Xenopus tropicalis: one gene and its partner. The protein of the gene in region 2 binds, or shares a complex with, the protein of the main gene of each other region. Links are inferred from orthologs where the notes say so. Each region holds a gene or a part of one and is shown on either strand. Other genes may lie near its edges. The genes, in order: gabarapl1 and nbr1.

Region 1 (4,273 bases), on a different chromosome or scaffold from region 2:
ATATGGTATGTACAGACGGGCACAAAAGGAAGAGACATAAGGGGAGGAGGCAGAGCATATTGTATGTTACGGTGTCCGGTGCTGCCGTATGTAAGTGCAAGTACAGCAGCTCTATGGCTTAAATAACTATATGGATATTTTAGTTGCCCTTTACAACACTACCATATTTACCCCCATATGTAATAAAAGGCACTACGTTTGCCCGGGAGCAGTAACCCATGGCAACCAATAAGATGTTTGCTTTTAAACACATGACCAGTAAACTCAACCTCCTGGTTGCTATTACTGCTCCTGGGGAAACTTAGTGCCTTGTATAACATATGGGGGATAGATTACTAATTAGCCCTGCAATCTCTTCTATAATGTATAAATATTAACATTTTATAGAATCCACATTAAAGCTCTTGGTTATATGAAAGATACAAATATAAGGATATTATAAGTCACTTTGACCATATAAAAACACAAGGCCAAAGACATCATTAAGCACTGTTTATAAGGATATATGTTAAAGGAAACTCATGGTTCTTGTGTATTACAAGGATATTAACAGTTACATATGAGACCCATAGCCATATAAACGCACAAGGACACAGGCTGAGCACTTTTATACAGGTCAGGGAACTCAAAATTGTAAGACAAGTCACCGCGGGGGCTCTGCACCCCCCCCCCAAGGGACCTCCACCATGGTCCCCATCACCCTCGGGCCCCTGCTGCCCACCCAACCCCCTCCCCCACGCGTGCATACTTAGGCACATTGGGAGAGGGGGACCTGCGGGCCTCGGAGAGCCCAGCAGGGATCAGTTCTGGGCCAGTGGGGCCCACCACGTTTTTGTCCTGCCAGCCCAGTCCGACCCTGCATGTAACACAAATGACATCACTGAGCACCGTTTATAACTAATGACATCACTAAGCACTGTTTATAAGGATATCAGTTACAAGATATTCATAGCTCTTGTGAATAACAGTTTATGACCAGGGGACCGGACAATAACGTAATTATTATATACAGGGGGGGAGCAGGAGAAGGTCTGTCCCTGATGACTAGTATTACTAATGTATTTACCCTGGGAGAAGAAGACAAACATGGGCATTGTAGAAAGGCCTATGCCTCCCCACCTTGAGATAAATCCTTCTTAGGGTGAAGACACACAGAACTACTAGTAGCAGCTACTTGTCTTGGCTACTAAATTAGACAATGCTGATCATTTAATGAGCCGTGAAAAAGTAGCTGCTACTAGTAGCTCCGAGTGTGTATAGTCGCTTGCAAGGCAGGACAAGGCTCTGCAGCCAGAGTATGTATGTATGTATGTATAACTTTATTTATAAAGCGCCACAAGGGTACGCAGCGCTGTAAAATCTTACAATATACACAATTACACACAGGGAGGACAAGTGATATAATAAATAAATACAATATATATATATATATATATATATAAGTGCCATGTGGTATGAGACACAGTGGGAAGGAGGTCCCTGCCCCGTAGAGCTTACATAAGTGACAGTACATGGTTCTGCAAGCTCTGCGGTTAGGGAAAGTGACAGTCAATAAGTAACTAGACAGGACAATGTTCTGCACCAAGGGAAAGTGACATGCAGGACTCGCACTGCTGGGACTGATATAATGAGGAGCTGTAGCCTGGGAGGGGGGTATAAAGCTACAGATCTATAGCAGGGGGGGGGGGGCAGTGTATGAGCCAAGGAAAAGGCAGCAGGTGACAGTCAGTGGCTCTGCAGTGGGGGCAGCTGACAGCCAATGGCTTTGCAGCAGTGGCAGTGACAGTCCATAGCAACAGACAGTACATGTTTCAGTGGCAGCAGAAGGTGACAGACCAGGAATCGGAGGAGGGGCAGGTGACAATGAGTGGCTTTCTTTCTTACAGATGTCTCTAACAATGACTGCGGCCCATAGGAAGTCTGGCAGAGAGCACAAAGCTCCCTACCGAAGGAACAGCACAACTACAAAGCTCTGTGCCGTCAGCAGAAAGCCAAGGAATTAAAGGGGAACTCCACCCAAAACCTGTTTTACGCACACTGATAGCAAATGTCATTCTAAGCAGCTTTCCAATGTACATTCCATTTTAATGGTTTGTACTTAGTGTAATTGCCGTTGAAATTAACATTAATTTCTCCCTTTCTGCCGCTTCCTTTCCAGAGTTGAAACAATGTAGCAGAAGTCCTGCCCGCCCAGGGGCTGCTACATTGTTCCATTGTCACAGGAGGAGTTCAGAGAATAGGAACAGACGGTACTTCCCATAGCAATGACATCGAACACCGAAATACTATAACAAATGTACATGGGAAAGTCGCTTGGAATTACATTGTCTTTCATTGTGCAATAAGCAGTTTTTGGGTCGGAATTCACTCTAAGGGAACCCATATCTGTGCTGACAGGGGGACATTAGGGTGCTGTACAGATGCAGTGTGGGTAGGACAGGGATACAAGGGATACAGAGTGGGTAGGACAGGGATACAAGGGATACAGAGTGGGTAGGACAGGGATACAAGGGATACAGCGTGGGTAGGACAGGGATACAAGGGATACAGCGTGGGTAGGACAGGGATACAAGGGATACAGCGTGGGTAGGACAGGGATACAAGGGATACAGAGTGGGTAGGACAGGGATACAAGGGATACAGAGTGGGTAGGACAGGGATACAAGGGATACAGCGTGGGTAGGACAGGGATACAAGGGATACAGTGTGGGTAGGACAGGGATACAAGGGATACAGAGTGGGTAGGACAGGGATACAAGGGATACAGTGTGGGTAGGACAGGGATACAAGGGATACAGAGTGGGTAGGACAGGGATACAAGGGATACAGTGTAGGTAGGACAGGGATACAGTGTGGGTAGGAGAGAGATACAAGGGATACAAGGGATGGAGAGTGGGATCCATAGGGAGATGACACAGCTCTGCTGTCCCTACTTACAGGCACCCTATCCGGGTATTTCTTTCTGATCTTCTCGCCCTCCTTCTTCCTGTATTCGAAAGGATGATCCTCCTTATACTGGAATTTCATGGCTGCCCCAGGAGATAGTGTATATACAGTATATAAATGTATATATCAGTCAGCTGATGCCCCTCGCTGTCTACTGCTCAGCAGATGCAATAACAAGCTATGTTACAGTGTACTGAGCAAGGGCAATGTGACATCACTAAGCCCCGCCCCTGGGCAGTACCAGCAGAACAAAACAAAGGGGGATGCTGAAATTAACCTTCTCTCTGCCAGACAGGACAAATGAAAAATAAACAGTCTCAGTTTAAAGAACCCTATAGCTCGCAGGCGCTGAAATCATATTCCAGGGTTTTTAGGGTGGGGGTTAGTGGGAAGGGTGCAGGCCAGGATGAGATATAGTAAATAGGCAGTGGCACAGGGCATGGCAAGTGATTGACACGCAAACCTGTTTGTCTGAGTCACCTGTTTATTCTCTGTGGATCACGTGAAAGCCAGAGTCACAAGGCAAGGTGACACAACAGTACAGCACTGCGGTACATAACACTATTAACCTGCGACTGGCCAGGGACCTGGGCCTCATTATTAACCTGCGTCAGAGAGCGGCCAAAGTCCCTGTATAACCACTTCCGGCCATTGATCTGTAGCCCATAATCTATTCCCTGGCGCCGAGCCACACTTTCACTTATACCAGCGCTTCTCAACCTGTGGGTCGGGACCCCTTTGGGGGTCGAACAACCCTTTCACAGGGGTCGCCTAAGAACATCAGAAAACACATATTTCTGATGGTGTTAGGAATAATTTTATGGTTGGGGGTCACCACAACATGAGGAAGGTTGAGAACCACTGACTTATACCCTTTCTGCACTGCTGGTTCTGACTGTCGTAACAAAATAACAGAAGCCGACTGATTAGCAGACCTGGAGGAGAACTGACTCCTGCTACATTGTTTCAGAACCAGAGAACAGGAAAAGATAAACCAGCGGTTCTCAACCTGTGGGTCGGGACCCCTTTGGGGGTCGAAGGACCCTTTCACAGGGGTTAGGAATCATTTTATGGTTGGGGGTCACCACAACATGAGGAACTGTATTAAAGGGTCGCGGCATTATGACGGTTAAGAACCACTGACTTATACCTTTTCTGCACTGCTGGTTCTGACTGTGGTAACACAATAACAGAAGCCGACTGATTAGCAGACCTGGAGGAGAACTGACTCCTGCTACATTGTTTCAAGAGTCAGAACCAGAGAACAGAAAGAGATAAACAAACACAGCTTTTAGCTGAAATTTCCTTTACAAATAACTTGAAAATC
Region 2 (3,821 bases):
GTTCAGTGTTGACAAGTGCAAAGTTATGCACTTTGGTAGAAATAATATAAATGCAATTTATAGCCTAAATAGTAGTGTGTTGGGGCATCCTTAATTGAGAAGGATCTGGTGATTGTTGTAGATAACAAGTTGACTATTTCCAGTCAATGCCATTCAGTGGCTACTAATGCAAATAAAGTTCTGTCTTGCTGGTTGGATTGTCAAGGTTGGGGTTGTTTTCTCTGGGGAGAAAAGGTGCTTGCGAGGGGACATGATTACTCAGTACAAGTACATTAGAGGGCATTATAGGCAGATAGGGGATGTTCTTTTTAGATTGGAGGAACGGAACTTTCATTTGAAGCAGCATAAGTGAGGGCAGTGAAGGTGAGGGCAGTGAGGTTGTGGAATGCCCTTTCCAGTGATGTTGTGATGGCAGATTCTGTTAATGCCTTTAAGAGGGGCTTGGATGATTTATTAAACAAGCATAACTATCCAAGGCTATTGTGATAAAATCTACAGTTAGTATTGATGTTGGTATATATGGTTTATGTATTTGAGTGTATAGATAGGTCAGTATAAGTTTGTGTGTGCTGGGTTTACTTGGAAGGTTTGAACATGATGGTCTCTGGTCTTTTTTCAACCCAAAGTAACTTTGTGCAGGTATATACAATTGGCATTACAATTTGTATGTATCAGCTCAAGCTAAGTCTATGTTTCCATTGCAGAATTATCAATTCTTGGTAAATGATCAATACTCATTGATTTATTTTGTGTCTTTTCTATGCACGCAGAAATGATACATGACCAGTGAAATGCTTACTAGTGTGATGTGTATTGCAGAGCAGAGAGCATGGAGTTCCAGGTGAATTTGTGTGTGAATTATAATGGAGAATCCCAAAACTTTCTGGTTTCTGACTCTGAAAATACAACTTGGGCTGATGTAGAGACAATGGTAAGTACTGGTAAAACAGATATTGGTATTTATGTAATATTTGGGATAATATGGATGCATTCGCATTTGTAGTCCTGCTAATTCAGCTTAATGTAATAATAGGTGCAAAGTTTGCCCAGGTCTGGTTACCTAAAGCACCCAATCAGCTGATCAGTAATTGCTGCCTGCTGATTGGTTACTATAGGGAACGGACCGTCAAAGTTGCACCTTTTATTACACTTTCTCCTTAGCTTTGAAGACATTTGTTCTTATCCGAGCCGTTAATTGTTATAGATTTGCCCTTCAATGTGTTCCAGTGGTCTATTCATGCATAAGGTAGTGACATTATGCCTGTGTAACCCATATTACCCATAGGCCATTTAGGCTATGTATGTCACAGCGCCCCAGGTAATAGTAATCAGTGTAGGGTTCCACTCATGTCTCAACTTAAATTCAAAACAGGCTATGATATTTTAAAGGAGAGGTAAAAATCACTGGGGGGTGCCAAATGTTAAGCACCCCCAGTGATTGTAATCGCTTACCTTTTAATCCTGTTAGGAGTAAACCGCACCAGCCTGGGGTAGCGATCTTCTTACTTCTTCTGTCTTCACAACGCTTGCAAATGTGCAGTAGAGTGAAAAGCTGAACTTTAACAAGAAAACCAATGTTTTTGCACATGCGCTGACACTGGGTTTTAGAATAATGAAGAGATAGAAGAGGATTGTCTACCGTACCTGTTACACTACCCCGTCTGGTGCTGTTTTCTCCTAACAGGAGCACAAAGGCCACATGGCTAAATGTGCTCTGTGGGAGTTTATAGCAGCCCCTCTGCTAGAGTTTCATAATGTCTGGCTGGGCCTGGTTCCACTGGTAAATTAACCTTGTCCATAAGAGTAAGCACAATATTGTTATATTTAACAACAGAAATAAGAATTATCTCTCCTGTTGTGTAGTTCCTTATATCCTAATGCCAACAAAACCGCTAGTGTTTGTATTTTACAGGTGTGTGTCTCTTATGATCTAAATGGCATCCAAATCAAATACATAGATGAGGATAACGAAGAGGTGAGTTGATTTCATGTATATGCAGCAACATGCACTCAATTAGCCCAGCAATATCCAAGCAGAGGAATACCCCCAAATAATTATATAAATTCTGCACCTCATGTGTTTATATATACATGCCTCCAGAAATATCCTAAGAGCTCATATACTCAGTGGCAAAACAAGAGGGTCAGCCTGATTTGGCCCAGCACGTATGTGGCTACATTGAGAAAAGATCCACTTGTTTGGAAACATGTATTTCACCCCTTTAAAACTGGAAACCCCTTAACTGTCGAAAGAAATCTCACCAAGCGATGCAGCACACAAACTGATTACTACTTAGAAACCTAAAATTCTTGTTTTATTAAATGATGGGGAAATCAACCCTTTAAACAGTACTTTAGAACATCAGTTAATCAAGCCGTCCTTGCCAAAACTTATGTACAGGACCCCATATCCAATTGAGTTTGTACATGCTTCGGGAACTAGGGAGCCATCAGACCAATAAAAGATGGATGCAGTGGTGTTGTATACAGTTTCAAAGGAATGGATTAATACAGCCATCAACTGATATACCTTTAAATTACTACAGGTATAAGAGCTGTTATCCAGAATGTCCGGGGCCCAGGGTTTTCTGGATAAGGGATCTTTCTATCCTTTGGATCTCCAAAACTTAAGTCTGCTAAAAATAATTTAAATATTGAATAAATCCAATAGACTTGTTTTGCCTCCAAAAAGAATTAATTCTATCTTAGTTGGGATCACGTACAAGGTACTGTGTTATAATTACAGAGAAAAAGGAAATCATTTTTAAAAATTAGAATTATTTGCTTATAATGGCCTTTCCTTAATTCGGAACTTTCTGGATAACGGGTTTTTGGAGAAGGGATCCGATACCTGTACTAGTACAGTGTTAAAGGTACTGTACTTCAAGCTTTAGTTCTCTTTTAGGGTACAAAATCTGGCTTTTTAAATTGTGCACTGAGAAATAAACATTAACTGATTTCATCTGTGTTGCAGATCTGTACCCAATGGAGTAGATATCATGTGGCATGGGTACAATGGGCATGGGCAGGTGGAATCACATGGAAATCCACCATAATTCACTTTCAGTTGAAAACACCTGGTGGTACATACCCTTAAATATATGTGATATATTACACACAGCATTGCTTACTTTCAGTAGTTTTCTCCTCCCCCTCATGATGGTATTAAAGGACATGTAATCCCCGCACACAAAAATTTAATCAGTGAAACAGCCTCTTTGAAATCTTTCAATACCTGCCACACTGGTTGTCCAGAGGTTAATAGTAAGGCTGCAACATCTCCTTAATCACTTCGATTTCCTTCTCCTCCTGTAACCCACTTGGCCCTGTCCCTCAGGAATTTGCTTTGACTTCTGGCTTGTGGGTATGCTCAGTTGTTCTAAACTCAGATTACTAAACACGCTCTCCAGTCTAGCAGCCAATGAAGAGATGCATTGCTGGTTCCCATAGAAACTCAGCTCTAGCTGTCTGCTTCAATTTTTTTCTCGTAACTTTCTCGCCTGAGCTCAGCTCAAACAAAGCAGAACTTTTATCTGACAGTTCTGCCTGTGTGAGCCTGTATTGTGGATGAAATGTATGCTGAATAAGGATCTCTGTGTGTGTATGCTGCTTGCAGATTTAAATGTATCTGATTATGTATCAGAGGAAAAATGGCCACCGGGTAAAAGCTACTATTTGCTTTAGGAAAATGTACATGTCCTTTAAACAGGAGAGACAGGGACCCCTATTAGTAAAAGCTTTTGTGCATGATCATGCTATTTTTCAGTATTTATTTTACCTTAGTTGTTTCATTATTCTGTACATACACTAACCTTATCACT

What was found.
Region 1: the proteins of nbr1 (region 2) and gabarapl1 are in contact, whole or in part, in an NMR structure (PDB 2L8J), measured with the Homo sapiens proteins. The link is inferred for Xenopus tropicalis from reciprocal best matches to the Homo sapiens genes NBR1 and GABARAPL1. Residues at the interface, in NP_005890.2 of Homo sapiens: Ser729, Glu730, Asp731, Tyr732, Ile733, Ile734, Ile735, Leu736; in NP_113600.1 of Homo sapiens: Glu12, Tyr13, Lys16, Glu17, Lys20, Ile21, Lys24, Tyr25, Arg28, Pro30, Lys48, Tyr49, Leu50, Val51, Pro52, Phe104.

What each region holds. Positions count from the first base shown.
Region 1 is NC_030683.2:18,817,937-18,822,209, forward strand, and holds the start of gabarapl1 (gamma-aminobutyric acid receptor-associated protein-like 1), read right to left. Parts: upstream 3,111-4,273; 5' UTR 3,028-3,110; coding exon 2,938-3,027; intron 1-2,937. UniProt on the Homo sapiens protein: Ubiquitin-like modifier that increases cell-surface expression of kappa-type opioid receptor through facilitating anterograde intracellular trafficking of the receptor. Involved in formation of autophagosomal vacuoles.
Region 2 is NC_030686.2:19,621,137-19,624,957, forward strand, and holds part of nbr1 (next to BRCA1 gene 1 protein), read left to right. Parts: intron 1-770; exon of another isoform or gene 771-819; 5' UTR 820-829; coding exon 830-931; intron 932-1,912; coding exon 1,913-1,975; intron 1,976-3,821. UniProt on the Homo sapiens protein: Ubiquitin-binding autophagy adapter that participates in different processes including host defense or intracellular homeostasis.